Nothobranchius furzeri: one gene and its partners. The protein of the gene in region 3 purifies or fractionates together with the protein of the main gene of each other region. This does not show direct contact. Links are inferred from orthologs where the notes say so. Each region holds a gene or a part of one and is shown on either strand. Other genes may lie near its edges.

Evidence for each region.
Region 1: the proteins of dyrk1ab (region 3) and rbl1 purify together in Homo sapiens (affinity purification with mass spectrometry; 3 studies listed by BioGRID and IntAct, with this or other methods). This does not show direct contact. The link is inferred for Nothobranchius furzeri from reciprocal best matches to the Homo sapiens genes DYRK1A and RBL1.
Region 2: the proteins of dyrk1ab (region 3) and kiaa0232 purify together in Homo sapiens (affinity purification with mass spectrometry; 3 studies listed by BioGRID and IntAct, with this or other methods). This does not show direct contact. The link is inferred for Nothobranchius furzeri from reciprocal best matches to the Homo sapiens genes DYRK1A and KIAA0232.

What each region holds. Positions count from the first base shown.
Region 1 is NC_091743.1:73,517,456-73,527,925, forward strand, and holds the end of rbl1 (retinoblastoma-like protein 1), read right to left. Parts: intron 10,267-10,470; coding exon 10,079-10,266; intron 9,964-10,078; coding exon 9,787-9,963; intron 9,250-9,786; coding exon 9,178-9,249; intron 9,102-9,177; coding exon 9,014-9,101; intron 7,523-9,013; coding exon 7,374-7,522; intron 7,270-7,373; coding exon 7,105-7,269; intron 5,987-7,104; coding exon of another isoform or gene 5,969-5,986; exon of another isoform or gene 5,901-5,968; intron 5,825-5,900; coding exon 5,630-5,824; 3' UTR 5,422-5,629; downstream 1-5,421. Other genes in the region: c3h18orf54 (lung adenoma susceptibility protein 2), read right to left, coding at 186-342, 415-463, 852-996, 2,213-2,380, 2,567-2,720, 3,354-3,488. UniProt on the Homo sapiens protein: Key regulator of entry into cell division. Directly involved in heterochromatin formation by maintaining overall chromatin structure and, in particular, that of constitutive heterochromatin by stabilizing histone methylation.
Region 2 is NC_091754.1:63,555,352-63,566,374, forward strand, and holds the start of kiaa0232 (uncharacterized protein KIAA0232 homolog), read right to left. Parts: upstream 7,221-11,023; 5' UTR 6,947-7,220; intron 2,070-6,946; 5' UTR 1,750-2,069; coding exon 1,513-1,749; intron 1,417-1,512; coding exon 1,276-1,416; intron 1-1,275.
Region 3 is NC_091753.1:50,167,945-50,177,757, reverse strand, and holds dyrk1ab (dual-specificity tyrosine-(Y)-phosphorylation regulated kinase 1A, b), read right to left. Parts: upstream 9,487-9,813; 5' UTR 9,349-9,486; intron 8,906-9,348; exon of another isoform or gene 8,746-8,905; intron 7,814-8,745; 5' UTR 7,757-7,813; coding exon 7,747-7,756; intron 6,305-7,746; coding exon 6,108-6,304; intron 5,874-6,107; coding exon 5,781-5,873; intron 5,432-5,780; coding exon 5,243-5,431; intron 5,053-5,242; coding exon 4,905-5,052; intron 4,806-4,904; coding exon 4,519-4,805; intron 4,375-4,518; coding exon 4,228-4,374; intron 4,007-4,227; coding exon 3,866-4,006; intron 3,760-3,865; coding exon 3,456-3,759; intron 3,285-3,455; coding exon 3,160-3,284; intron 3,018-3,159; coding exon 2,430-3,017; 3' UTR 2,207-2,429; downstream 1-2,206. UniProt on the Homo sapiens protein: Dual-specificity kinase which possesses both serine/threonine and tyrosine kinase activities. Exhibits a substrate preference for proline at position P+1 and arginine at position P-3.

The DNA of each region.
Region 1 (10,470 bases), on a different chromosome or scaffold from region 3:
TCCAAACAAAATGGTAGCATCCTTACCAGCTGAGCATATCCATCAAAAACAAAATCACAAACAGCGTTTTGAGACATTTTAAAATATCAGAGATGCAATAATGTTTTCATCAGACTGTTAGTTATTCAGTCACATTGTTCTTCGAGCTTCCTCCGATCACCAGTGAGAAGTGAGTGGTGTCGTACCGCGCTCGTCCCACAGGTCCGGTTCGCTGACATCACAGCGTCGGATCCAGGCCGGGTACTTCAAATCAGGCAGGCTGCTGATCTCAGAACAGTTCAGCTCAGCTTTGTTACTGGTGAGCCAGTGAGGGATGTGGAGGTCTGCAGCTCTGTGTGCAGACTGACAGAAAGAGGAGCTAATGAGGTTTATTACATTAACTAATCATGAGCCCAGCTGATAACAACAACATACAGATGAGGCAACAGCAGCTGGGTTCAACATGGCTGCTCTCCCTCTGCACCTGAAGAGGAGAAAAGTTCATTTTAAATACTAAACATAGGATTCCACCACATGAGAATATAAGAAAACTACAGAAACATAAACTCCATTTTAATGTCTACAGAAACAATTCGGAGACTTTCTGTTTGCTAAGTTAAAGGTGGAACTACTATTAGATGGTACATATCAGTCATAAAGCAATTTAGAGTGTGGTAAAACTTTCTTAAACGAGTCATCTGATCAACTAAATAAATCTATTACTCAGTCTTTTCTCTCTTTATTCCTTAAAATGAACACTCGCCAGTTCTACAGCTCTTAATTCATGTGGAAACATGAGTGAATAAGTAGACATAATAAATACACCTTACTCATAACAGAGGAATCATGTTTCATCAACAGAAAAAACAAACCTGGAGCTGCTGGGAGGTCTGATGGGATCAGAGGTCTGGTTCAGGTGGAAGGGAGCAGCCCGGTTATCGAGTCCTGCGCTGGTTCTGTGTGCAGGTCTGAAGGTAGGGGAGAAGGACCGAGGGGCTTCAGACCAAGATGGGAGGCCTGAAATTAGAGAAACAAAGATGCACAAACAGAAATTAAGGCTTTTACTGCTTTCATTAGCTTTTTGTCTTTTGTTTCAAGTAACATCAAATATTTATAGAAAAAAAGGTTCATAAATCAAACTGATGTGGTTCACCATTTAATCAATACATCTGCAGTGGTCTCTAGTAGGAATGAATGCCTTGTAAGTTTTACTCTGGGGAAACAAAGCTCCAGTGCGCCTGTTTGAGGAAGTAGATATCAGCCACATCAGAGCTGTGCTTCAGATGACAGGATTTAGAGTGTTATTTCCTGAAATCTCTCCTCTGATTGGCTAACAGCAACGCAACTCTACCACTGACTCTGTTTGCTCTGCAGCGTTGATGTTTTATCTCCACAAACACAAGACTGGAGGAGTTCTGCTGAGTGGTAGAGTTGCTAATGCTAACGGTAAAAAAATAATAAAATGTCCTGTATAGCACCTTCTTGGGGTTCTACAACCCCCAAGGCGCCTCACAACACAATCAGTCATTCATCGATTCACACACACACTCACACACTGGTGGGGATGAGCTACGTTGTAGCTAAAGATGCCCTGGAGCACACTGACAGGGGTGAGGCTGCTGAACACAGGCGCCACCGGTCCCTCCGACCACCACCAGCAGGCAAGGAGGGTTAAGTGTCTTGCCCAAGGACACAGCAGCAGCAGTCTCTGGTCGGAGCCGGGATCGAACCTGCAACTTTCTGATTACTGGACAACACACTCTACCTCCTGAGCTACAGCTGTCCCCGTTAGCTTCTACTAGCTGAGACGTTCTCTGTTGTTTCCTGGACGCTAAACCAAAAACAGCCTTCCCCTTCGTAAGTCAAGATGGGTGAGTCCATGAATGTTAGGTGACAGTGTGACGTAGATCTGTCAGGATTTTCTAATCCTAGAGTTTCACAGTCTGTTTTCTATCAGAAGCTAATGCAGGAGATAAGTGTAGGAGACTATTTTCATGTTCAGCCTGCATGAAAAACTGTTAGAATCAGAAATAATCACTAAAACATTTTTTTCAGTGTTCCCCACCTTTAAGATTTAGATGAATAACAAGAATAAAGAACCACAATTTATTTTAAATAAAAACTATAAAGTTTAACCATCAGCATTTATTTATGTGTCAAAGATGAATGTAAGAAAATGTTAAAGATACGTTTTTCATTCCTCAGACAGAAAAAATGAAGAGGATGTTATCACCTTGTACGAAGGCAGATGTGTGAGTAACAGGCATGGACCCATCGTAAGGGATGGACAACAGTTCGTTAGTTGTCATGGAGTATCTGTCACGGTTACTACGGTGATGGAGGGAGCTCACAGGGAGGTTCAGGAAGTCCAGCTCCCTGTCTGTCAAACGCTCTCTGAGAACTGCAGATAAAAACAAAAACTTTATCCAAATTTAACAACAAAACAAGAAGAACATGAATTCTGTGTGGCACAAGCTACTACGAGGACCTCACTTTGTATAAAGTGATCTGTGACCTTAAATAAGACATTGTGCATTTTTATTATTTAATATCAAACCGCTTAGAATGGCTCTAAGCTGTGTCCTACCGTCTCGGTTTCTGAGTGAACCCACTCTGGGTTTGGTTGGTGTGTAGGGCCCATTGTGAAGAACCAGACTTCCTGTTAGCGACCTGCATTTCTGACAACTCCTGTCAAAGTCTGAGATGTAGGCGTCCAGTGCTGCTGAGGCTGAGTCATAGTCCTGCCAACAATCGATCAATAATTATCAATGTTAAGGTTTCCCTTTTCCCAACAACATCAGAATACTTGCATATATTACAAAACTAGAGTGAATACAATGTTACTAACATGACAAGAATTACTTTAAAAAAATCAAGAAGAAAAAATAATTCCTGCTTTTATTTAAGTTAAGTGAAATAGAATTCCAAATGGGCTGAATATAACAATTAGTAATGAATTGTGATTTTATCAGAATTTAATTTTCCACATGGAAAGGAGCCAGCTAAGATGGCTCGGGTTAGCCTTGCCTAACCCTAACCCTGGATGCCTCACTGGTGAGGTCCAACCAAGAGGAGACCTAAAGAGAGATCCAGGACATGCTAGAGGGACTAAGTTTCTCAGATGGCCAGGGAACGCCTTGGGATTTCCTCAAAGGAGCAGGCCAAAGTGGCTGGAAAGAGGGAAGTCTGTGCCTCTCTGCTTAAGCTGCTGCCCCGTGACCCAATCCTGGATATGTGGACAAAAATAGATGGATGGATGGATTTTCAAACTTGTATAAAGAATAAAGTCATTGTTTATTAGAATACCAGCTTGGCTGCTGCAACAAAACCAACACAGAAGACTCTGTGAGAGGCAATAAGAGCAGAACATGAACCTTGTCTCGATATCTGATGGTTGTGTCGTGTTCAGGAGGCCTCAGGCTGCTCCTCAGGTGACCTGAGCTCGACAGAAGGGAGGTCACGGTTGACTCAGGAGATAAACAGTCATCTACCAAGCTGCTCAACTCCATGCTGGTGAAAATAAAAACATTTCAAGGTTACAGTTTTGGTAAAAACAACATTTTTTTTCTAAGATAAGTTTTAACATCAGAACAAAAGGTTTTGAAAAAGCCTTTGATCCTCAGCAGATCTTAAAAATAAATCCAAGATGGGTCTAAGCTTCAGCTTTCAGACAGATTGATATTCATAGCTACAGAATGAGCCCAAACCATCAACCCTCCACCACCGTGCTGACAGCTGGTATGTGGCTTTCTCCCACCGGCTCCTGTGACAGGTTTTTATACTATTTATAAGTTGGTCTTGTCTGTTCCACTGTGATTTTGTTCAGATGAAACTAAAAACTTCGTCATCCTGCAACCATTCCAAACAAGTTATATTCTATCAAAAGTTATTTAGCTTTAAACTGCAAATTAAGATGTCTTTTTTTTGCTGAATATTATCCATCTGTTAACTTTACTCATCGCCTAATGTCATTATATCAACACAACTGACACATATGGTGGCTAGCAAATAACTAGGCGGTTTCAACACGATTATACAGACAAAAAAGCTTGTTAGCTGTGATTTAGTAAGAGGAAAAGAGCTAACAAACTTAATTTCAAAAGTTAGCTAAACTTACGACTAAATAGCACCGGCTAAACGGAAGTTTCAAAACAAGCTAACCATCAAACGGAGCTACGAGACGATTTACTGTCCTAAATGTCTTCGTGTGTGTTCATGTAAAACGAAGAGCGTTTAAGAGACATTCAAGGATCCCGGGTGAAGGTAAACGGTTAGCTGGTCCGAAATCAGTTCATCATGTACAGTCTATGGTTCATCCTGATGGAACTGGCACGATGACGTCACTAGCATCCAGGCGGAAGTTCATAAGAATTTCTTATCTTTGTTTTGTTTTGTCAGCATTTTTATGTAATGGATTTTAGTAAAACAAAATCTTAAAGAACAAACAAGCTTCCGTTTTATTTTCTTGTTTTTAACCTGGCTGGACACGTTTGGACTGCCCCCTTCCCTTTCCTAAGTAATGGTACAATCCACCGCAGGATTTTTTTTTAATGAGAACTTTATTGAAACACAATTGTAGAGTTCAGAAGATAAGACGATCGCTCTTACAGATTTCTAGAAAATCATACATAATTCCTGAAGGGGGAAAACTCCATATTAAAGCTTTAATAGTCTGGGTGGGTAAATGAGGGACAACAACTCTTTGAACAGTTGATATTTACATTTTATTTTACAAAACTGAACAGTTTATAGAAACACCTTGATGTTCAAGTTCTGAGAAGATTCAGACATTAGTACACGCTTTTGATTCAATTTCAGTTTACACAAAAGTGTGTTTTAACCTACTTTACAAGGTACCAAAGCTGATAATCAAGTGTTCAAATGGTTCGTTTTCACCAGCGATGTTATTACAAGAATCAGAAAAGCCTCAACAGTGATTCTGTTAATCAGAACAAATGCTGTAAAATTTTTGATTTGTTATAAAATGTGTGTAGATACCACACACACACACACACACACACACACACACAGTAAATTTATAGTTAGCATTAAGAATATTTTCTGACAGCATTCCACAACATTTATGGTTTAAAACCGCGTTTAGAACATATAAAACACAATAACACTGAACTATTTAACAAACTAAATAACAAAAGTAAAACTCCATAAAACACTTCACATGTTTGTGGACCTTTCAAATAAACCTGATATCGTTCATTCCTTTTAATAAACCAAGAGGTGAATATTCTCTTTGACACCGTTCTTTGTTTTTAACAAACACATCAGAAATGCTGCAGAAAAATCAGGAAGGTTCAAAAGCATGTGGAGTTTTACTGTTCTGGGCTGCGAGGAGATTAAAAAAACATAAAACTGTATTAAAAAAACAATAAAAGAGTAAAAATGAGCATATATCAGTTTTTAGGATGGATTAAATGTTCTGGTGACTGCTCTGACTTGTGGTTTCTGTGATCATGCTCCTGGTAACAGTCAGAACTTTGAAGTCATGGTTAAATTAAAATCTGCTTTGTGTTATATAGAAACCTAAACCACACCACCTGGTCTCTAAGGACCTGCAGGTTGCAGCAGAAAGTCGTGTCAGGATTAGATCGGCTCGCGGCTTCCCTCTGAGTATTTCAGTTTGTTGGTTTCATCAGTGACTCTGCCGCTCGGACACGACGTCCTGCAGACGCTTCAGCAGAACGTCTGGACTGCTGCCGTTCTCCGGACACGCCCGCTTACTGGGCGAGTCGCACATTGGTGACATCATCACATCCCCTTCCATGTTGAACGCCCTTTTCCTGTTCACACATCCCTGTCGGATCATCCGGTTAATGTCTGACAGGTCCTACAGAGGAGACAACAGTTAGGCTTTCCCAGTTTTTCTAAAATTTATGAAATAAGTGTTTTTTTTTTAATGCCTTAATCTTACTGGGCTGCAAATGTCGGCAACAATCTTTGGTTTTCTTGCTCGAGTTACAGAACCTCACAGTCATGCTGCTGGGATTTTCTAAATATTAAAAATAAATCATTTACTAAATTTCCCCTTAAAATAGTTCAGAATTGTTGCAAGGATTGGAAAACTCCAACGCTTTTCAGTTCAGTCACGTCAGAAACTGGGCCATAAATGGGATTTACTGTTTAGTATTATTACCGATTCAGCGCGAGTCCAACTAAAATAAGCTTCCAGTTTTTTCCCCTAATTTGTGTCTCCAGCTGGTTGTTGACAGAGGTTTATAGCAGAAATAATCTTAATTTCTTTCAATTTAAAGGAGTGGTTCACTCATTTAATCAATACATTTACAGATTATGTTTATGTTTATTCATTTAGCAGATGCTTTTATCCAAAGCGACTTACAATTTCAAACCTATAGGGCATGTTGTGATCTGTGGGGGAAACCGGAGTACCCGGAGGAAACCCACGCATGCATGGGGAGAACACGCAACTCCACGCAGAAAGGCCGCAGCGGAGTTTCGAACCTGCAACCTTCGTGCTGCGAGGCAACAGTGCTAACCACTGCGTCACCATGCAGCCCACAATGGTCTCTGGTAGGAATTAATGCCTTGCAAGCCGTACTCCGGGCAAAAAAAGCCCAGAAATGCTTGGATCAGCACCAAGTCTGCTGCAGCAGAGAGTTGCTAATGCTAACGAAATGGCAGAAATGCGTCTACCAGCCAAGATGCGCTCTGCTGATTCCTGGACGTTAAACCAACAACAGCCTTTCCCGTTATGAGTCAAGATCATCGACATAAATATACGGTCAAGATGGGTGAGTCCACGAAGGTTAGTGACAGTGTGGCGTAGATCTGTCAGGATTTTCTAATCCTAGAGTTTCACCGTCTGTTTTCCATCAGAAGCTAATGCAGGAGATAGGTGTAGGAGACTATTTTCATGTTCAGCCTGCATGAAAAACTCAGAGTGACCCATTAGAATCAGAGATAATTATTAAAAATGGTTTTTCAGAGTTCCACACCTTTAAGGAATTTAACTTTTTTCTTCAAATGAACTGAAATTCTAGATTTTATTTTAATAATGTGCTGTTTAAAAAAATCATTAATCAGCTTGAAACAAGACGTAAGCTTTAAGTAGCTCACAGTGTGTGTGTGTGTGTGTGTGTTTATACTTGCCTTGGAGGGGCTGCTGTTGATCCTGTAGGTGAAGGAGCTCGGTGTGAGACAACCAGAGGAATTCTTGTGAGGGGACACGTACAGCGAGTGTCTCTGACTGACTCGGCGAGGAGACAGAGGCTGAGCTCGGACCGACGGGAACGGAGACAGAGGAGGAGCGTCTGCCTGGAGGATCCAACAAAGTCACACCAAGAATGAATTAGAGACACCGCAGCCTCAGCCCAGAGGCACATTGTTAGAGCAGAACGAACGCTGTGACGATGTTGTACCCGATTATCGTTGGTGGCGTATCTCAGAGCGAAGCTCTTCATCTTCAGGATGAAAGTGGTGTTATAAAACTGAATGAGGTCACCGCGTTCCTCCTCTTGTGATTGGCTGGAGTTGGTGTCACCTCCAGCCTGACTGGTTTTCTCTGCAGCTGAAAAAACAAATAAACTCATTTAGGGAAAATAAAACTTTAACTTTGATGGTGGTTCTTATAAATGCTGGAATTAACTTTATACTCAAAAATGTATTTTTTAAATGCATTTTTATTTATTTAATTTTCATCTTACTCAAACTAAAGTGAATACATAATATACAGCCACAGTCTAAGCCAGGGGTCGGCAACCCGCGGCTCTTCCATCCATCTGATGCGGCTCTCTGTGCTTGTAAAATAATGAATGGATATTTAAATAAAAAGCTTTATATTTTACTGCATTAATTTTACATCTGTATGCCAATTATAAATGTAAAGATTGTCTGCGTAAACCTGAACAGGTCCAACCCGGTCTTACTGTGAGACCGGGTTGACGGGTCACGCTTGTGCGTAATCATATAGGCGCATTCTGAGCTGAAGACAATGTGAGATTCTGGGCTTCTCCTCAGACGGCCCCTGGATGTGTCGCCACACTGGAGACAGGAACAAACGCTATTCAGCCAAAGTTTCATCATCAGGGAACATTTTCTAAGAGTCCAGCTCAGATGTTCAGATGGGAATCTTTTCTTGAGTGATTTAGCTACATCTGTGATGTGCCTAACGAATAAAATGTCAGTTCGTCTGCATGCGTTGGGGTAATTCTTTCTATTCTTTCTCCGTCAAACAAACGGCCAAATACGGAAACTGTCCGGTCAACACAACACAAGCCCTGCTTTTAACTGTTCTGTTTTCTGGTGAAAATTGTTACAAATTTAACTTGATTAACACCAGAGCCAGGCGCACTGCGCCGTTATCTCCGTCACTGTAAATGAGGGGAAAACAAATTGATCGGATCCTTTTCTGACCTTCCCCACCTACAAAGTTTAATTACAACAATCAAACGTGACAGAGCCTGGATTTGTATTCTGAACAGTCTAAACATGTTTTAAAAAGAAACGTACAACAAAAGTGGCACCTGCTCAGTAAAACCACCAACAGGGTGAAAAATATCAAAATACTGTAGGCAGAGACGGGCTACAACTTCTGGATCCATTTTATATAAATCATTTTATTGATTATCTTCTTATGAAAGACAGCTTTTATGTACACGAGCGACCGGTACTGGCTGCTGTCACCTGTTGTGATTGGTTAAAGCAGCTCTCTGCTGTCTGAGGGTAGGCCCCGCCCACAACGTCGCGGCTGCTGTGGCTCCGTGTTTTCTTTACTGTGGGAAACGGGTAATAATGGCTCTTTGATGGGAACAGGTTGCCGACCCCTGGTCTAATCAGTCATCTATGTATTATTTTATGCGACGTTCATGATGAACCCTGATGAACTTTGCTGGCCAAACCTGGAAAATCATTTGTTAATGTTTATGTATTTAGTCTGAAGAGGCAAACATCAGTTTTCTAGCTAAATAAAAAAAAAAAAAAAATTGACCTATATTTTTGGCTAAAATGCCTTTAGAGGAGATCTAAATGTGTTTGTATGGAAGCGTGTGTCTGATCTTACATTCTCCACCCGACACAGCATCCACCTCCATGTTCTCGTCAGCTGGCTGCGCTTTGGGAGTCCGCCGTAACAAGACGCTGCGGTAAACCTGATCACACAGACAGCGTAAGCCTCCAGCAGATGCGAGGTGTAACTTAGATTTCAGCGGTTTTTGTGTTTCTCACATGGCTGCTGGCTTGGGGCTGGCTGCGGTAACACTTCATGATGTCCTGGAAGGTGTGAGTCTCTTTGGTGATCTGAGAGGAGAGCATTAAAGCCGTGCTTAAAGGAACATAAGTTACACCAGCTGATCCAATAACCGACCTGCCAGGATTTTTAGCATAACCACAGAGAGCAGAATCCTTTTAATTCATAAAATCTATAAAACGAGCAGCTTTTCTATGTTTGATAACAGGAAGTTGCACCCAGGGCATCAAGGACAGCTCGCTTTTATTAACCAATACACATTTTTGGTCTGTAATATTTTAGTGGAGGCTTTTAAACTGACAGCAGAAACTCACTGGCAAAAAGGAGCCCAGACTGGCTGATGTTGTTCGTCATATAACCACTGTTTGGATCTCCTCATCATTAAAGTGAATCCCAGAGTCCTCAGTCTGACTAGTTGTGTGTTCGGCTGACTTCATTCAGCCTGAGAAGACGTTTGGTTCTTGGTTCGTTAACGTGTTGCAAATAGTTTCTCTACGATCGCGCAGAAGCTGCTGTTCAGTGAAACACTCTGCTGGCTGGCATTTTCCTACACAGCTGCTTCGTTAACTCTTAGTTATCGTTCTTACTTTGGATATTATATAAATGCTGCACAGCAGCAGCTGGTCGAGATGTCGATCCTTCATCAGCTCAGTGCAGTGAACCAGCGCGTGCTCAAAACATGTCCAGATTTTTCCTCGCAGCTCTGAGGAGATTTCCAACTTCAGGCACAAATCCCTCAGGCGTACACTGGCCAGGTGATACACCTGGAGGGAGGGGGAGACAGAGAGAGAGAGTTAGTCAGAGGAAAGACAAATGTCCAGCAGAAGATAAACAATCATCGTTTATTTTTTTAAATAAACAAGTGAAAATCTTTCTCACCTTCCTGAAGAACAGAGCGATTGACCCGGTGCATCGAGGCCGCCCGTTCCCCATCTGAGGGTCAGAGGTCGAGGCAGCAGTGAAGTTCCGGCTCGGAGAGGCGGTCAGCAGAAACTGAGCTGTGACGACGCCAGAAGAGTCACACGGCTGGACTGGGATCAGTGTAATGGTACGGTCGCTGCTCACGCCTGAAAATATTCACACAAGAACAGATGCTGCAATCAAATTCACATTTTATTAACCTCCCAGGAGCTTAGCTGTTGTAACCTTTGATTTATATATACTGTATATATATATTAGGGGTGGTACTTTAACGTTAATTATGATCAATTAATTAGAAAACAATTATGTGTTAAAAAAATTCACACATTTAATCACAACTTGTATTTCAA
Region 2 (11,023 bases), on a different chromosome or scaffold from region 3:
CATAAATAAATATGCTTTTTCGCGAGGTATTCTTCAAGCTTGTCCGTGTCTGCCGCTTGTTATCCTCGACTCTCTTTATGTTTTTGAGGGCGCAATGGCGGCGGTGTAGACGACAGTGGCGTCCTGACCAATCACAAGCCTGCGTTGTCCGTCTCGACTGACGGATGTTTGGACAAGAGAGCTCGAGTCCGTCTGTCCTTGCGCAGCTCACCGGCAGGCCCGCAAGGACGTTGCGTGTCTCCGCGCTGACGCAGACGGAGAAGCATGAATCAGGCTTTAGTCGTAAACACACCCACAAACACCGGATCAGGAGGACGACCACGTTACAACACAGGACCCCCCCCCCCTTCAGCCACCTTGTGCTGGTGGGTTTCTGCCTTTCACAGCCTTGACTTCTGGCCTCAGGGGAGAAGTTAACTACTCCTGTTGCTTTTGACATGAATGCAGGCGTCCTCGTCTCGTCTTTAATGAACATTGAAACTTAAAATCTCACACAAACATTAAGTGATGACCCCGTTACAACTTCCTGGTCATCAACGTAGCTACGGTCTAAGTGATGGTGCAGCTTTAGCTTCTCACACCAAACCTGCATTACTTGCTGCCAAAATACAAATACTTGTGAAAATTTCATTTGACAGTAAACGAGAAATTCTTCTATCAACAGAACATTTTCTGTTCTTTACTACAGGGTGTCTGCAGGTTTAAGGGAGCCAAATTTAAGACTTTTTAAGACCTCTACTAAGAACAATTTGACCAAATTTAAGCTATGTTTTCTAATTAAATTTAAGCTATAATTTCCAGCTATTGCCTGATTAGCCATCCAGTTACCATTGAACTTGCACTTCCCCATGGCGCAAGCTCCCACTAGCTTAACCAGCTAATGTGCTCATCTAAAAATAGCCCCCTTTCACAACCAGCTGAATGTGTACGGTTCCGCTTACGCCAGCGTCGTACACAAAAAATGCTGAACACTAACTAGAAATTCACGAACATTTTATAGAAATAAAAGAATCTTGTTTATTGGCTCTTTGGTCATTTAAGACCTTTGGAAACTGGATTTAAGGATTATTTGTCATTTTTAAGGATTTAAATTTGGAAAAGCAAATTTAAGACTTGTTAAGGACCCGCGGATACCCCGTTACTAAAGGTCGCTCTTTAGCGTGTAAAAGATCACTTCACTCACAAACAACCCTGACAGAATACTTGCTAGCTAACAGCGCTCCTCAGACATTTTGACAGCACAGGATTTCAACAGTCAGGTGAAGCGGTGCTTACTTCATCGGATGCAGAGCGGAGGCATTGCACTGCGGCTTGCTTCTTCATTTCCTCTAGACTCAGGTCGGTCCCGCCTTTCTTCTTGCTCTTGCCCCATTTCTTCCCAGTTCCCTTCTCCCATCCCAGGAAGATGTCGTTTTCCTGTCAGATTAAGAGTTTCAAAGATCAAAAGCTGTAAAAACCAAACACACTGCAGGGCCGACTTTACACACACAGCTGACAGGTGTGGGTACCCACCTGGTCCTGCAGGTCATAGTCATAACTGTCATGCAGCAGAAGGCTGAGAACGTAGCGGGTGTAAATCATGGCATCAATCCCGCACTTCTCCAGCTCCTGGCCAAGCCAGCTCTGAACTGGACCCAGCGACTGAAGCAGGGACATCTCTGAGGCAGGAAGGGGCCCCGCGAGGGGGTAGGGGCAGGACAGGTTCTCAGGAGGAGCAGGACCGTCTGAATCGGTGCTCACTGGACGCATGGGACCTCAGGTGTTGGCCATTCTCAGGCAGAGAAGCATGGTGACAGTAGTTCCTGTAGGGCGGTGGGTGGAGAGGAGCGGCGAGGCAGAACCTATCTGGATGAGGGGGCTGTCACTCCAGCAGGACGGACTGAAGGGGTTCTACATGGGGAGGATTTTTTTTTCTTTTTATTGCTTAAAGCAAAAAAAGGTGATTTTACTCATAAGGCATGGCTTATGCTGCTGAAAGATCTCAGCTGCCGAGCAGAACTCCAGACGTGTTCCCGTCGTGTTTAGTCAGCGGGGTCCATCTTGGGACTGTCTGACTTCACCGGCACAACCTGGAACACAAAACAAGCGCGCCTCAGTTCAAGTGCGTCACTGTGATGCTAATAAAACCAGACATATCAAATACTTCATGAAATAAATATTTATAAATAATCTGTGTGATTCGAGAACCCTGAGAAGTTCCAGAACGTGGAACACATTAGAAGTTAAGATCTGAACAGTTTAAAGGTGCAGTATGTAAGAATATAGAGAGGATTTTACAGTGAGATAATCCCAGAAGTTTCTGTCGTTTCAGCAGGAGCATGTTTCATATCCAGCTAGCTGTGGTCAGTTCCTCTTTTCAGAACAAAGGAAGGAGGGACGTAACGACTGTTAACCATCAGTGAGTGTGGGGGTGCCGTGTCTGCTGCGAGCTCATGCTTCAGCACCCAAAGTGTTGGTTAAAGTGGTTGCAGTAACCCCAGGATGTCATTTTTACTTCATTTCCGCATGATGCACCTTTAATATGTGAATGGACATCTGCTTTCTGCTCAGTAACGTTGCATTCTGACTCCAGTTCTGCTTTCATTTAGGAAATCTTTTTGTTTAAACTTTAACAGAAATGAATTCCTAATCATTTAAAGGTGGAGTATAAAACATGAACACCACAGCAGCATCTAGCTTAAGGAGGCTGCAGTTGCAACAGCAGAACAACGTTTCCAGCCGTCAGGACAGCGGCTTCACTGCTGGTATGTGAAATGTTTCATTTGGGTCCATCTGTGGAAGGCTTCACCTAGACTCACTCTGGTTTTAGATCTTTTATGGTCGCTCCTCTTCTGAGAACGATAACATCCTCTGGGCTCAGGTCTGCTGTTTTCCACAGAGCTGTGCCGAGCGACCTGTTTGGCAACACAATGGTGCCCTCTACTGGCTGGTAGATGCAAACATACACCCAGGGCTGTGCCCGTCAGAATAAATATTTGATTTAATTTTAATTAAAATAGGTCTTTTAAAGGAAACACTGTACCTTCATTCTGCACACCTCTAAACGCCCCGTGGAGGTTAGTTTCAAAACATTAAGCAGTACCATTTTCAGCCTTTATTAACAGAGGACCTATTCCTGAACTATTAGTCACCATTTGTTTTATGTTTATACAGTCTGACCTTTCCAATTTTTAAAAAATGCACTTAAGCTCAGGTCGATTAATGAAAAACGCTTGATAGAGAAATCTGTTCAGGGTTTTTAAGCCTTTGTCCAAATCCAACTGAAACTTTTAACGCCCCTGCTCAGTGGCCTAGTGGTGGAGCGTCTGCTCTGGGACATCGGGGTTCAAATCCTGGTCGGGTCTTACCAAAGACTTTAAAAATGGGACGCAATGCCTCTCTGCTTGACACTCAGCTTCAAGTGTTTGTATTGGGGGGGTTAAACCACCAGTTATTTCCTGAGCACAGCCGCAGCTCACCGCCCCCCATGTGGACGGGTCAAATGCGTAGCTGTAATATCACCAGTGAGTGGTGATGATGATTATGGGATGTAATTAAAGGAGAATTTTCCAGGCCGATTCATAAAAATGAGAAAATTATTTTTAAAAGATTGTTTCCTTTCATCGTCTCAGTGCCATAGTGATGATGAGTTTCAGTGTGAAACAGTCCAGCACTTAAAGAACCGTGAAAACACCTGATTCACCTGCTTCTGGCTCTGGGGTCAGATTAAACCAGTCTACTGTCATTCTTAGATCCAAATGCGACTTCAGCTGTAAAACATAATCGATTATAAATGATAGGACAGGTGTCTCTTTGGCAGCTGCAGACCCCTGAACTACCACGGATGTCTATGACGTAACAAACTACAACACCTACGTCATTTAAAAATCAGCTGTGAGGGGGCAGATGAAGCCATGCGTGTCTCCCGGATACCAGAATCCGGTCACCGGCGTGCAGAGCAAATGTAGGCTGCGGGGACGTGATTGGCTGACCGGAGCGTCATTCTGTGGCGTCATTTCAGAGTGAAAGGACAGGATAAACAGCTTTACCGGTGCGCTGCCCGACACTGCTTCATCACGTTTACCTGCGGGTCAGAACCAGGGGCAGACTGGCCATCTGTGGATTCTGGAGAATCACAGAACGGTCGGTGGAATGGCCCACCACTCTCCACGCATGCTTTCAACACCTGTCCCCCCCCCCAAAGTTCCTTCACGCTCCTGCACTCTAGGTGGCAGCACTGCACCTCTAAGTTGGATGCCAGCTACATTGGCTGTGGCCGCCAGGCAAGGAGAAGAAGAAGCTGAAGCGGAGAGGAGGCAAAGGCAGTAGAAAAAAACGATGCAAAACCCGGTGTCGATACAGGATCGGCTCTGGGTCCTTCGACTGCCGATGACGTCAAAGTACGGCAAACCCACTTGGACAAAATACACTACACATCTATACTGTTGGAAAGAATTGAGCAGTTTCAATATTAAAATAATGTTTCTTTAGACGCAAGTTTGTGTTTACAATGGTATTTGTAAAATAAAACACTATATTGTATTCCCGAGCGCAGCTTGTCTGCAGCTCACCGCTCCCCCAGGGGATGGGTCAAATGCGGAGAATAAATTTCGCACACACACCTGTGTGTGACAACTAATGGGACTTTACCTTTATAATGTTGAACTCCTCTTTGAGCACATCCCTTGAAGGATCATAGGTATTAGCAACACCTGTGAAATTGTGTTTGCAGGAAAGAAGTGTGTCCCGTTTATTGAAGTATTTTGTGTTTAGAGTTGTTGACGTCTTGTCCATGTCCATGTCTTGTCCGTAGTTCAGTTACGCTCATAGCTGCTAGCCAAAACTCTGGAGTTAAAAGTTTTCTGCATTTACTAAAATACCTGTCTGTACTTATTTGATTGATGGTAGTTTTACTTTCTATTAGACTCCAAATGTAATCATTTGGCACGTTTCTAATTCATAATTTGTAAGAATGTAATCGGTGATGTTAGCATTAGCATTCCTATGGGTTTTTCCATGTATATTAGCATTGCGCTAACCAATCGCTGCCAAATTGCAGCCTTTGCGATTAGAAAATCCCCTTTTGTCACATCGCAATTTAATTGCACATGCAGTAATCGTTCAGCCCTAATATACATGCAGCTCTATGCTAAAAGTGTATTTTCAAAGAGGTAATGATGGATTTCTTTGTAAAAGTCGTCCATCTTTCTTGCCTGGACCAACGTAATGTGATTACGTAATTCTGTAAGGTTCATGTTCAGCCAATCAACTACTTTGACGTCATCGGCAGTCGACGGACCCTGAGCCGATCTTGCACCCGAGCGGATCCTGTACAGACACCAGCCGCTAGTATAAAAATAAAAAATAAGGAAAGAAAAGGGTGGGGCTAAGGTGGGCATTAGATGCTGAAGCCTCTAAATGTCACAAATTAACCAACATATTTAGACGCACAGCCAGCAGCAGCACCTCGCAGCAGGTTCACAGCAGTGAAGAAGTCAGGCAGATAGCTACACAGCAACATGCCAGCAGTAATGAGGCGCTGGTTCCACAGGCAGATCCAGGGGAAGTAAGAATGGAATGTATGAGGAGAAACATTTGCAAGGATTGATGTTAGGAATTCATGTTTAGGTTGCTATTTTATTTCATGATAACAGCCAAATTTCAACATTTTAGCTGTAAAAGGACACATGCAGTGGGTGATAAGAAGTATGTTGTGGTTTTACGTAAAAAAGGTTGGTAGTAGTGTTCAAGTACTGCTCACAAACTTTGAAAATCTTAAATATAGAAGTTACATTTATAATGTTGCATTTTCATTTAGATGTGGTATTATTTGTGCAGTAAGAAGATTAATTACTGCACAAATTAAGCTTATCAGTAATACAGCTTTTAATACAACATAGTCAACATTAGCGCTGTTGCTATAATTTCGATGGTTTGACCACATTTTTTTGCTGCTGAATTTCCGCGCGCCGATTACTTTGGGCCGGGCCTAGTCAAAGTCCAGGACTGTTTTTTAGTCCCAGTCCGTCCCTGGTCAGAACCGAGCCCTGTCGGGTTGGCCGGGCAGACGCTAAATATGGCTGACCAGCTTTCCCAGCCAGCTGTTGTCTTGGATTAGCCACCGCGGAGATCCTCTCACCGACAACTTCATTCAATGAGCTCCTCTCCGCCTACGAGTGGCCGTTACATCTGCTTCAGCCTCGCAGTGAAAGGTGGAAAGCAGGAAAAAATAACATGACATTGGTTAATATTAATACATGTATTTAAACCAATAATGTAGCTGTTTACACATACAGCTGCGACACCGGTGAGATTGTGTAACAGTTGCAGTCTAATGGGGGTTTTAAACTTGGGGCGGAACTATTTTGGCTCATTCTGCAGGCTAGCTGGACCACCGACCTTTAGCTGACGAGCTAGCTTAGCCGATTAGCTTCCCTGAGCTGTTCCGTTTTCTGACACTGATGTTTGACCCTTTCGTCACGGTTATCTAACGGGGGCTCTTAACGTGAAGCTGCACCGAGGCTCGCGGGTTTAGCCAGGTCGTTTTCCCTGTTTCTGCTGACATTAGTCACACTCCGCGGTGTTGTGACGGACAGGTGACCGGAGGCTTCTGCGCTGCATCAGAGATCCGACGATGCACTAAAAGACGACAGAGCCCGGCGGTGTTGGGCCGAACGCGCAGCCCCAAACAAACCACATGATCGCGCCTTACGACCAAGCAGAACAGCGCAGGAATGTGTCGGGGTTTGAACCATAGCTAATATTAGCTTTCACGGAGCTCCGCTTGTTGTTGTGACCGAAGGGGGAGGAACAGCGGCAACCCGGTACCAGAGGACTGTCAGGCGTTTTTCCCCCCTGAAAATGTGCGCCATGTCGATACGGCGAGACCGTAAACAAATTCAACATTACACCAAAACGAGAGCTGGGGCTCGCAAATGCGGACCAGAAGCCCCATGCCGGCTCTTACCTGCCGTGGCCTGAAGTGGAGAGGAGCAGCGAAAAGGGAGCGGCTGTTTCTCTCCCGCTGCCGTTCCGAGCTCAAGCTCTGGAATCCGCTGCGGCAGCAGCGCGTATCATGGACGCCGACAGAAATGGCGCTGTTTTCACGTCTAGCGCTTCTTCACCAGCGTCGAGCGAAGCCGACGACATTCGGGCTCCAGCCAGTGAAGGGTCGTTCCTTGATGACAGGGAACGCAAAGCGCCACAATGTCCGCCGCCGGACGCCAGTTTCATTTGGAGTGCGCCACCCTCCGCGTTGGTATCCTAGCAACAGGACGAAGCTCCGCCGTCCTGCTGCCGCTGATCGGATCCCTCCGCAGGAGTGTTGCATCAGAAGTCCAACTAGTACTCATTTCTGCACTGCTAAATTTAACTGGACTCTAGGCAGAGTAACCGCAAAGAACCAGTCAGTATGTAAACATGCAACTCACATGATGTTTGTTTTTCACGCAACAACAGTAGAGCTTCATGTTTGAATAGTAACAAATGTAAGGAATGGAAATCATTAAGGCCCGATCCACACAGACTAGTTTACATATTCCACATATCTGTAATTGAATCCAAAAGCCAGAGTCACGCTATGACCCAGAATAGATACAGCACGTTTTCCTTTGTTTCTATTTGTTGTTATGCATGTACTTTACAGTAAATAACAATCTCTTCTAGATCCGATGCCTTTCCTAACTCTGCAAACATCTTGTGTTTGAGGCTAAAACAGGATGTGGCCGCTCCTGGACGTACTCAGGCAACTTACACTCAATATCTTCTTTATTTCAGAAATATGTTCAAACGCATGCTAAAACCACACAGCTGCCATTCGGTGCATTTAGGCGCACGTGGAAACTGTTTCCCTGCACCAGCACACCTGGTGTGAGTCAATGGATGATTATCAGGCCTCTGGAGAACTTGAAGACATGCTGAACAGCTGATTAAATTATTGAATCAGGTGTGTTGGAGCAGGGAAACATGTAAAACATACAGGGGGCTGGTCCAACACGCCTGATTTGAATCGTTGGATAATTAGCTTCTGGAGAACTTGAGGACATGCTGAACAGGTGACTATTGAAACAGGTGTGCAAGGAAACATCTGTAACATGTGTCTCTAAATGCTTTCATGTCGATGTGGCTCAAAATATCTGAGGAATTTCCATCAGGTTTGAATGATTGTAGCCATGAAGGGTTAAAGAAACTCTGAAGGTAAAATTTGGTCAGTCAGCTTCTGTTTTAACTTTTTTCTTCATCGGTTGTTTTCACACAACTAGACAAAAGCAAACGCTTTTGTTGCTCTGTGTTTTTGAGGCATTTTGATATTTTAGTTGAAACACAGCTCTGGTGAACTTTGCACGCAGTCTGTGCTCCTCAGAGTAACATCAGCAGATGTGAGCCAACAAATGACTGAATCAGGCTGTGTGATCTTAACAAGGCTTAGAGGGTCCCGTAGGACCCGTTAGCAGATAAATATTGATCTGTCTTTGATCCTTATCTGGAGCCAGAGTAAGACACCCAAAGGCTGACCTCAGAGTTCAGAGACACCAGGAAGTGGTGAAAAACATCCCAGTCGCTAATAAAAAAAAAGTCTGCCCTGCAAACGTTCAGCTCTTCCTGTAACGGATCAGATCTGATCTGAGTTTCAGCCACAATCGCAGCAACACGGCATAACTAAACTTTTGCTGAGCTATCTGCTCTGCTCCTCGCTCTGACTGCAGTCTCATGTTCCAAGAGTTAACTGAAAGTCCATTTGAAGCACATGGCTCTGGTAAAAGATGTCCCACAATCCTCTTCCAGGCAGGGGCCGGTGAAGTTATGGTGATTTCACTCTGGAGCTTTAAAGACCCAACAAACACAAAGCTCCACCTATAATAACTCCAGCATCACTTCAGACAGGGACATTAAACTGAGACGCTGTTTTGTGTTGTGGCATGTTTTGGTAGTGATAGTCCGGTGTTGGCTCACCAGTCCAGTCCTACCTCTTCAGTTTGGAGTCAATCTAATCCAAGATGGAAGCAACAACTAATGTTGGTCAAATTTAAGGGCTGCATCCTTCAAAAGCCGATTACGTCACAGAGATGCAACAAAGGTCGTCCAAATTCTGAGGCTCCTTGGTAAATGGTCTGTATTTGTATAGCGCCGTCTTAGGGTTCTACAACCCCCCAAGGCGCTTCACTACAGAATCAGTCATTCACACGCTGGTGGTGATGAGCTACGATGCAGCCACAGCTGCCTTGGGGCGCACTGACATAGGCGAGGCTGCAGAGCACATGCGCCACCGGTCCCTCCGACCACCACCAGCAGGAAAGACGGGTTAAGTGTCTTGCCCAAGGACACAACAGTAGAATTCTCTGGTCGGGGCCTACTGCTGTCCTTCAATGCATCCTTGTGATTTGAACGATGGGACTAGTGCATCCTTCTTGGCCCTCCTTATCCCAAGATTCATTGTGGGCTGAAGTTTTAAATGTGTCCTAACCTCCTAGGACCCTGTGTCCACACGCATGGACATTGGCTCCTTGCACTAAAAATGCTTATTCTCTTCTACTTAGACCTTTTTGTTATTATTTAAAGACACTTTATATGACTTTAATTTAAATTTCTTTTTGTTGTCTCTTTTTTTTAGTATATTTGAAAACATTTTTATTTATTGAATTAAAATCGTTGTAACTTTGTTTCTGTTAATTACAGTCGACTGATCTGTAATAGCTAGATATGTTTTTTCTTTTACATCAAACCAAATGCAACTTTTGGTCTCAGGAGGTTAAAATCTGGGGTATAAAAATTTAAAAGCTTCAAATGATTGTGTTGTTAGGTTTGTGTCATTTGCATAGTTTAAAAAATGTCAAAAGGCTTGACAACTCATCGTAAATGAGTTGCACGGTGATCGAGAATCCAATAGAGCTACATGGAACATTTGTTAATCCAGCTAGCTCACATTAACAGTCTAACTTTGGTTAACTCTGTTAGCTGAGTAGTTGTAATTTCTCCAGAATACACGCTTGTATAAGAAACTTATAACACTGGATTTAAGTGGGCCAAGTCAGTATTAGCTTAGTTATAAACAGCACGTGTGTCCAGCCTCTAATCCACCATCACGCAACCATAATGAACACGTTTGATGGTTGCTCAGTGTGTTTTCCAGCGGTGCGGTAAAGCGGAAAGACTCCACACTAGTCCAGGTCAGGACTTGGACCATAACGGAGCTCTACACATGGGACCAAACCAAGCAGGCGACCCTGACCAGATCAGATGTCATTTTGAACATCTTAGGTGTGTTCTTGCTGTGTCGTGGTTCTAATTCCATGCTTTCGTTCTTTTTAAACACAGAAACAGTTTTGTTTACCTGTTTTGTAGCTACAGTTTCGCCGACGGCTGCCGGCTTCTTCAGGCTGACGCTGATGGTGGCGCGTCACTTCCTTCTCCGTTTATCTGTAGCTACAAAACAGGTAAACAAAACTGTTTCTGTGTTTAAAAAGAACAAAAGCATGGAATCAGATGTCATTTTGTTGTATTTCTGTGGTTTATCTCAGGCACCTGAAGCTAATCACATGCTATCCAGATAATCTGACGGATCTCATTAAAGCTATTTATCATCATCGTCCAGTCACACGTCAGCTCTCACAGGGACGGATGTCTCCTGAACATCAAACAGCAAGTGAGTCTCTCAGCTGACACACTTCTCACACTAACTAATCCTTTTTAGAGAAGTTAAAAGCTCGTCCACTGAGGGACCAATCACAGCTCGGTGCATTTATCAGAGGGACCAGTCAGCAGTGCCTTTGAGGAAGGTACAACTTCCCCACCCCTTTAAAGCCATATGGTTCCTCTTTACTGTCTCCAGACCTGTTGACTATGTCCGCTCTGGACTTTGAGTGCAGAGCACATTTGTCGGTAAACCATCTACAGCTTGGAGCTAATCAGAAACACAATCACCAAAACAAGCCGGATCAACCTAAATGAATGCAATAATGCCCATAATTCCCGTGTGGTGCTGCGTCTCCTCGTCTCACCCGTTCTCTTGATCATCACTTGTTGCTGCAGTCATGTGCGTCTTGCA
Region 3 (9,813 bases):
TGAAATAGGCGCACACTTACGAGTCACAGCAGTCAATTTTTTTTCTTTTTCAGTCTTTATTTTTGGAATGTTTAGTACCAGTATGAGTGCCAGCAATAAAAACCACTGACAAGATCTAAATGTCTCAAATTCAGCGGGGTATGAAAAATGATTGCAAATATGCAATTAACCTTGACATCCAGATAAAACCCCAATCTCAATATAGGTAGCTTTACATTTGTGTTTGTGGAAATACCAAGCATGACTGCTAGGGATGGTTCCCCTTACAAAATGACAACGGCATGACCTGTCTCCCTTCTTTAACTGCAAGGTGACTGTGGGCAGATTTTTTTTCTAGTTTTGTTTTTCGATTTTAAAAGTGACAAAATGAGCAACAGAAGGAGGAAAGCACTTTTAAATCCCTGATATAACAAAAAGAAAAAGAAATCGGGTAATTGACTAAATGTTTTGAGGACATGCATGTCTGCCTAGGCGAAAGCACTGCTAAGGTGGACTGACGAAACACCCTTTACCTTTGAAAAGGACGACAATCACAGGGATTCGTCCTGCCAAAATCAGAACTATACCGTTAAACACAAACCGGTTCGCCAGTTCTTCTTACCCTGGCAAGGCAACGACAAAGTCTTGCTTCACTTCACGGCAGAAACTAGCTTAGTTGACCAAATGATGTATGAAAGGCAGCAACACCCTTTGAAATAGTATGATGGGGGGAGGGGAGGGGGAGAGGGGAAATAAACAAAAATGAAAAAAAAAAAAAAAAAGAAAGAAAACGATGACAGAAATAGAACGCATTAGTCTCCTTTTTTCGTTTAAAACCATCAGCCTCTATCTCGCTACTCCGGAGCCTGCAGAGTAACTACCAAATTTTCTAAACATACTGAAGTTTTAAAAGACTCCCAAAATAATCTACCAATTAATATGGAAACAGTTTTGGTAAAACGTTGCAAACAAGTCTGGCCAGAATACACAACAGCCAACGATCTCGACAACGGTCTCCAGTTTTGCTAAAGGAATATATTGCAGCTGTTTGTGTTGACGTTAAAATAAGATCTTGATAAAGTTTGCGTCAAAGTGGTGAACTGCTACATTATTGGTTACAGACACCTATATGCTATAAAACAACTGCTTTGGTATAAAAACATATCCAAAGGGAAAATAAATTCTTGTAAAATTCACAGCATAATTTGAGGAGAAAAAAGGCAGTCACTTAACTCTTTTTTTTTTCTTCAGTTTCCTTGTTTTAGATGGAGAGACTTGTGCAGGTGGTTCTGATGAGGGACTACATGCAAAAGGGGGGAAAATAAAAACATAAAAGGGTAGACTCTGGAATAGATAGTTCTTTCCACTGCAAAATCCTTAACCAGTGAATTTCAAGGAAGTAATGTTTAGGAGGTTGTTGTGTACAATAAGACCCTGTTATGTGGGGCCCTGCTGAAGACGAAATCTTTGTCAAGAAAGGCCTCAAATTACCATTCTTATTTACCATTTCTACATTGTTTTAATTTCCTTAAAGAATTAAGGGCTGTCTAGAGAGAAAAATAGAGAAAAGCCATCTTAATTCGAATGATAATGTCCATCTCCATTCCATTCCAAGTCCATGAGTCATAAGGCCAAAGGATTATCTAGAACCAGCCACTGACTTGTCTTCCTTTCCCTGGGCCGGATCCTTTCGTCTCCCACGCCCATCGCTGCTCTCGCCTGTGCCGGGCCCGGTTGCAGCTTGCAGGACCACAGGACCTCTAGGCCTACGGGGTGGTGCTTCCCTCTCCTTTAACCCGGTTGGTGTCAGCATCCACCTACGGGGTCTTCTTTCCACCCGGCCAGCACACGCATAGGGACTCCACTGCTATGTGCTCCCCTTTAACAGAGTCACACAAAACCGACCAACAACAAGAAATATCACTGCAAACACTTCCCCTCGTTGTCAAGCTACAGGATTTACAAGCAGCTCTGATGTGAAATTTCACAAAAAAAAAAAAAAAAAAAGAGGGCAAAATTAATTACCAACCAGTGGAACAATAATGTCAGGCGCTCCACGGTTTGAACCTAAAGGACACCAAGCATTTCATCACCAACAGCTCGCTGCAGATCAGCTTCAAACTTTGCTCTGAAACGCTCCTTAGAAGGTTTTGCCACATAATACCATATGGTGATTACTTCGTGGTTACATGAAACTGGTGAAATGGTAAGATGGATGTCTCAATCTCACTATGGTTATTCTGCAGTATTATTTTGTGCCTAATGATTGCAAAAGAAAAAACTGATAAAAATTACATATATACTTTTAACAAAGGTTTTTCTCTGTAGTAGCGGTTCAGTGATATCTCCCTTCTGACGTGAGCAGCTTTTGATCTCAACACACCTTGTAGTAAAAAACACCACCTTAAAAATGACGCACAGGGGGAACACACAGCCAAATGTCAGTGCAGTCACGAGCTGGCCATAGAACTCTGCTGCACACATACTCCAGTCATTGGAGACTCCTCCCGGTCCATGCCCTGCCTCATGCCCAGGTGACCTTCCGCTAGGTAATGGGCAGGCCCTGTGTTCGTGCCCATGGAGAATGCAGGGTGCGCTGCCATGCCAGTCTCCTGCCGTGGGTTCGAGAAGGCACCTAGCCCCATGCTCAGCCCACCATTCTGACCAAAGTCAAGGGCTCCAGCGGGTAAATGGCGGAGCTGGTAGGCCTGGTTGCCATGGTTACCAGTGGAAGAGGATGATGTAGAGGAAGAGGAGGCAGAGGAAGACAGGGAGGTCATGGACAGATGGCCATGAACCACCTCCATGGAGTCCTGTGTTGAAGAGCTGTGTGTCGGGGAGGTGTAGTGGCGTGGACGTGGACGAGTAGCCATCATTTGCCCATGGTGGTGATGAGTGTGTGAGTGGGGATGCAGGGCCTTAGGGTGCTGGGGGGGAACATGGAAGGTGGTCTCCTGAACTGGGTGGGTTTCTCCAGTGACTGACTCAGGTCCAACGCCACCTCCCCACACCAGCGGGGGCGGGTAAGGCTGCCTCGCCTGTAAGAGCCAAATAAATAAAATGAGCCAGGTGTGAAATACTTTAAGTAAATAAAAAGTATCTAAAAGGTTCGGTGCAAGTGAAGACAAACACTTTCCCACACAACATTAACCACGTGTTCGCAGATTTCAACTTGCTGACCTGTGGACAGAGGCTGTCACCATCGATTGCAGGCATCGTCGTGCCAAAGTGTCCTCCACTGTGCAAGTGGTGATGGGTCGGGTCTGATCTCGCTCTGCCACTGGTGCTGGTCCCAGATGATCCTCCTACGGGTTAAGTAGAAGTGACACAAGTACATCTTCATTAGCTTCATGTCAAATGCTACATCAACCTCAGCTTAAGCTCATAGAGGCAGAGCTCCACAACTGTGTGTTTTACAGGCTTCTAACACAGCTGAAGTGATGTAAAACAGTTGATTTGCTCTGTGTGACGAGTACCTGAACTAGAGGAGGTGCTGGAGGTGGTTCCAGAAGACTGTGACTGCTCTAATGCGGGGCTTGTAGACACACTACTGCTTGTATTGGTCCCCTCATCAGCAGTCTTCTTGAAGAAGCTGTGCTGCAGGGCATAGTAGGGCTGGATGCGACTCTTAGGGTCATAGTCCAACATCCGAAGGATCAGGTCCTTGAACTTCAAGTAGTCAGCAACAGCATGGCCGGACTCCCCCGCCCGTCGGCCACCGGGACCCCCTGTCTCCACACCCAGGATAGAGTGGAGTTTCCGCGAAGCTGGAGGCTTATACTGTAAAAGTACAAATAAAATATTCACCAGCATGTCAGTTATAATTACCAAAAAGTACCTTTCATTATATTCAGTGGTCCACATGCACACAAGAGAGAGAAGTCACCCTTTTGCCATCTTTGGTCTTCTTAACACTCCATGTACCATCAGAAAGCTTCTCGAAGAACTTCCTGGCTTTGGGGGCTAGGTCCATTATGTGATTAGGCGGGATCCCAAGAACCTCAACTATTTTGTTCATCTGATCCACCTGAGGAGGTGAGCAAATCGTGTTACTTCTTTATACACAATAAATGCTGTAAAATACATCATCTAAAAAACCAAATGGTTCAGAATGTTTTAAGGTTATGAAGTCTTCTTTTCTATCTCCAATGGTTACACAATCAGATTTAAAATGCAGACACAAGATGAAAGCATTTGTCATCCTTCACTGAAATATGACCACCTAGCTAATGTTTCAGATTGTTATACCTCATTGGCTCCACTAAAGAGAGGCTCTCCAGTGTGCATCTCCACCAAGATGCAACCCAAGGACCACATATCGATGGCCAGGTCATAGGGCATTCCCAGCAGCACTTCTGGGGAACGGTAGAAGCGACTCTGGATATACTGGTATATCTATACACAAAACACACATAAGGGACAAATTAAAAAAAATAAAAAAACGTAAAAAAAATAAATAAATAACCCACAAACAGTTACTTATTGACTTTATTGCACCCAACTGACTCATAGCTGATGAGAAATACTGCTGCTAATTACCCTTTGTCCCAGTTGGCATGAACTGCCAAAGTCCACTATTTTGATGGCACTCCTCTTTGGGTTACAGAGGAGGATGTTCTCGGGCTTCAGGTCACAGTGGATGATGCTGAGCTCAGGCGTGGCCAGGAAGAGTAGCGCCGTGCATAGCTGCTGGGCAAACTTCCGGGTGAGATTGAGCGAGACTCCGCGGAAGTTGGTATTTCGGAGCAGGTCGTATAAGTTATACGACAGCATCTCGAACACGAGGCAGAGGTGGTTCCGAAACATGAAGTGTCGCTTTAAATGAACTGCAGAAAAAGCAAATTATGTCCATGTTAGTCAGTAACAAACCCCCTGGCCTTTTATTTTTCTGATCAGATTAGATGCTAATTTCAAGAGTGGATTACCAATGTAGTATTTCATCTCGGTATCATGTTTGTTCATCAACTCCAAGAGGCGCACTTCTATCTGGGCTTGATTGAGGAAAGCTTTCTTGTTCTTGATGATCTTAATGGCAACCCATTCCTGCTCGACTCGGTCATACGCTTTCACAACCTAAACACGCCAACGACAAACAGTTTACAGTTTGCTCAGCATGAAGTTTTTACGGATTAGTTTTGATATTAACGTTTAGGGTCAATAATCACAAAAGAAAATGTACAGAAATGCTGGTTAATACTTTTAGAAAGAACATTGTATTCTTATGAATCAAATAAACGTTTGAGTGGAACTGATAGTGAAGCACCTGTCCAAACGATCCTTTTCCTATCAAGGAATCAATTTCATAGCGGTCCATCCATTTCTCCCCATTCTTGACGATGTAGTCATAGTTATCATCGTCATAGCCATCATTGAACACTTTCCTCTCCTTTTTATGACTGGAGTCTTCACCCTGACCCTGTTGGTGCCGTCGCTTCTTTTTTGCATAATACACCTGTAAGTTAACACATTACATCCCATAACCACACACACAAGTCTTTGACGAGCTAATGAAACACACAATGATCTTTGTTAAGTTGAATCTTCTAATGGATTATTTTATCATGATCTCACCAACATGACTTTGTTTTATTCAATAAAAATGCAGTAAATTAAAACATGTTGCATTTTGTTTCGTCTCAGCAAAAGTAAAAATCTAAAAGACATTTAAAAAAAAAGCTGCAGTAACTTTAATTGTAAGCATATCCAATATGATTAAAAGTATAGCTGGTTAACTCTTTCAGCTGCTAAAGTAAATAATTAGTTTAGATTTAAATGCATCAAAACAAACTAAAAAAACAAACCTCATTGATGTGTTTGTATGTTTTGATAAGGTCGATGGAGAGCTTCCTCAGGGGAGCTGAAGTTGGGTCACGAAAGCACTGGGGCATGTGCCTCTGGAGTGTCACAGGTAAAGTATTCATGAACAAAAAAACACACGGCAATTTCATAAGAAACAGCATCCTCTTGAATCATTGCAAGTAATGATGGTTAACAAGACGTGATTAAACTGAAAGTGACATTTGACATGTAGCTGCTCTGCCTAGTGACAGTAGAAAAAGGGAAGTAGGCTTTGATATTGGACCCAAAACTGTAAAACCTTGAGGAGCTATGTGGTGGGGTTCGTATACCTGATTGGCAGTGAGCTGTGGTGTCTGGTCGCTGTACGGTAAGACTGTAACAGATTGGTCAGTGCTTGGCTGGTGGCGGTCACTGTACTGCTGGTGCGTATGGGGCATTGGAGCAGCCATCTGAAGACCAGCAGTGTGTAAAGAAAAAGAGGGCGCAAGCCGGACGGACGAAGGTTTGCATGCTGAAGTCTCTCCTCCTAAGAGAAAAGAACAATGTTAGGGAATGTACTTTCACTTCAATCCCCAATATATAAACTGACAAATAACATTAAGAAAGAAAAAGTTTATAAAAAAATGGTATGTTATATTCTCATTTTCATGCTAAACATTTTTTGCATTACAGTTAAAATAAGTGTCATTCAGACTGTACAGATTTAATATAAACTTCTCATTTTTACTATTTCAAAAAAGCAACAAAAACCCTTTACACCTTTACAAAAATGCGCAATTTTCATTATGAATAAAATATATTTATTTATAACATGCATGTTAAAATAAGACAGGTCTTTAATAAATCCATGTTAGGAAAAAAAGGCACAGTATCTGAATTAATGTTTAGATATTGCATTTTAATGAACATGTTAACCAAATCTAAATTGCATGAAAAGGACAGCAAAAATAAAACAGCAGCAATGTATCAACCTTTGTGAAGAAAAGGGAGAAAACGGTAGGTTTAACAGTGAGAAGGGGCGAGAATACAGCATCTCCACACTGTACAGTGAATCATCCTTCATTTTAAGCCAGAAGGAATCAAAAAATTATTAAATAGCATGTTCAGCTATCAGCATCTCTCACCAGACAACACAATTCACCAGCGCTACACAGTAACCACTATTCAGAATCCCAGCAACAGCACCTAATTAGCATAGCCTATCACCACAGAGATACAGCGTGATTTGGCAAGCCCATCAATGCACAGACCAATCACAACGCAGTATGCAAATAGCCTACTTTTGTTGCCAGGGCAGAGCTGCTCCCATTTTCCAATGAGAAAACAAGAAATAAACAAGAAATAAAACTGAACTTTGGCACACTTAGACGTTGCTTTCAACACAAGAGCTTGACAGTAAAATAGCTGCACAGCCTAAAACCTGCACTTCATCTGAGAGCGTTAGAAAGCTGACCCAGCTTTGGAAAAGCAGAAAATACACATCCACTGACAGAAACAAGAGGAACTGTAAAGTGATAGAGCACAGACAACAAGGTATTTGAGAGCCAAGACGCATCTCTTTTTTCAGCCACTATAAATATGTTAAAATACACATTTATACCTTTTCAGAATGTAATTTAAACAAATTAAAAAGTGAATTACACTTAAGATTATATTAAATATTTGTTCATCTTATGAGCTCTAAATATATCCTTATTATCCATCATGTCTTTGTTACTGTTTATCCTGCTGTGTAAAATAAATGTTACCATTATAACCTAAATAACTAAATAAAAACTACCATCAACAATTTAAAAATAATAACTACAGTCCCGGGCAGTTCAGATTGTGTGACTTGGTCCTGCTCATGATGACTCATAGATGTTAAGTCTTGAGGCCAAATTCAAAACAGCAACATAAGTTAGAAAAGATCATAAGTGAACTAGTTTTCCCCAGCAAAGGGTTAAAGCCTAATGTACAGCTGCTAACCTGGATGCATCTTCTGTTTAATTTCATATCATCCTGGGAGGAGAGTCCAGCAGCAAACCACAACCCACTACAAAGAATAAAAACACTTTATTATAATTTTGCATTTTGGGTGGGATTTAACATCACTGAGATTAAACCTGAGTTAAGAATCAGTGACAGATGGCCACCAAAGATGATAAGGGACCCCCAAAAACTTGTAAAAGTGAGCTGGATGTGAATGCTGTGGAAATAAAACAACTTAAAGCATATTTTAAAAATGTGTGTTAAAAGTTTTAAATTTCAGGTTTTAACTATGAGCTGCTTGAGATTTTAATGAATTAAAATTCAATCGCAAAGCTGTAAAACGGTTAAAAAAATAAATTAAACAAATCAGAATTCACATTGTTGTGGGCCTTGAGGCTTTAGCTTCTTTTAGTATACTCTAGGGTAAAAATGTTATTTAAACGAGAATTTTAGCTTTAAATATACACCAATAAAATAGACAACTGTTCGTCTGAACACAACTATATTTAGTGTACAGGACTATGTAATTTTACAAAGAACTGGAGGGAAGTAACTAGTTTGAGAGTGCTTTACTTCTATTAGACAGTCTTGAGACTTGATTTTATTTAAAACGTTTAAACTAATTGTAATACAAGTAAAATAATAGTGGTACAAAATGCCAATTTTTAGCACACTTGTAGCTCTTTAGTCTTTTCCTAAACGTCTGCTTTATCTTATTCTTCAGTACTAAGAAATGAACAGTTCCTTTCTTGGCTCTGGTCATTATGGCATCTGTGGGCCTATTTATGTGTAAATATATCGACAGCTAGCTTGATATTAGAAGCCGAATCGTACAAAAGGATGCTTAAAGATCTCTGTAACAAGCCCCGTGTGTCATCCTCTCACGCCCAACTGATTAGATTCATTCCAAAGATGGATCAAACATAACCGATCCAAAACAATTAAATGCTAAACGTTCGCGGGGAATAAATATATACCGAGTCGGTCTGTACTTACAGATGATAAGGTAGATCTCGTCATGGTTGGAATTTAGAAAGCATATTCAGTGTTAATTTTCGTCTTCTCTTGCTTACATATTGTTCGTGAGGCAGTCCAAATCCTCAAATAGATGATATTCCCCGTCACGTTACCGCTAGCGGACTAACTAGCTATAACGCTGTCGTCGTTACCCTGAAAACTGCGGGGCAGATGAGCATATCTCTCACCAGCCCGACGTTAGCTAGTGACGCTGTGTGCAGCCAGCGGGCTATGAGGCCCATGCAGTAGATCAAATCGGGGAGGTAAGCTAACACGGCTTCAATCATACAATGACAGGACCCAATATAGCACGGTTAGCAGGAACATTAACACCGTGCCATCACGACTCTCCGTCCAAACTCACAGTCAGCTGGAAATTCCTTCACGTTCAGCATTAAAACCCGTCTCTTGACCTACTGACTGTAAGCAAACGTTAACCCTGGCTCCACAAAATCTCTTAGCCGCCACAACTTCACTACCGCCTCCATCATTGTTAACCATTCACGCTACATGGGACATATATACGTACGAGAAAAGCCAAATTAACGCAAATGTGAAATAGAACAGTTTGGATCTGCTTACCTCTAATGGCACGATCTTCATTTAAAGTCCAATAACCTGTATGATGAGGAAACTTATCCAGCTTGATTCTCCACCTCCCTGCACGGTTAGCGAGTAAATCCAATCCCCCGTCCTCTGGCCGGCTAAAATAACTCACCAGTCACATCTAGTACGCGCTTCATTGTCCAAGCCTTGCTGAGCAACATCCGTGATCGAAGTAATTTCATCAAACGTTACTATCAGCTGATGACCAACAACATGCTAACTAGCACGGGTAACTTACTGGCTAACCTTAGCTGGTTCACAAAATGAAGGCAGCTAACATCAGCTAGCTCCTTTGACTTAGCCTGAAGCTAACGATTCTAGCCACCGCTAAATAAACGTTATGCCAAATTCTGATTTAACGCTCGTCTTTGCGACTGAAATGTCGGTCACCTCGATGAGCGGCGACAACGCGATTACATCTAGTGCATTTTAAACACTAAG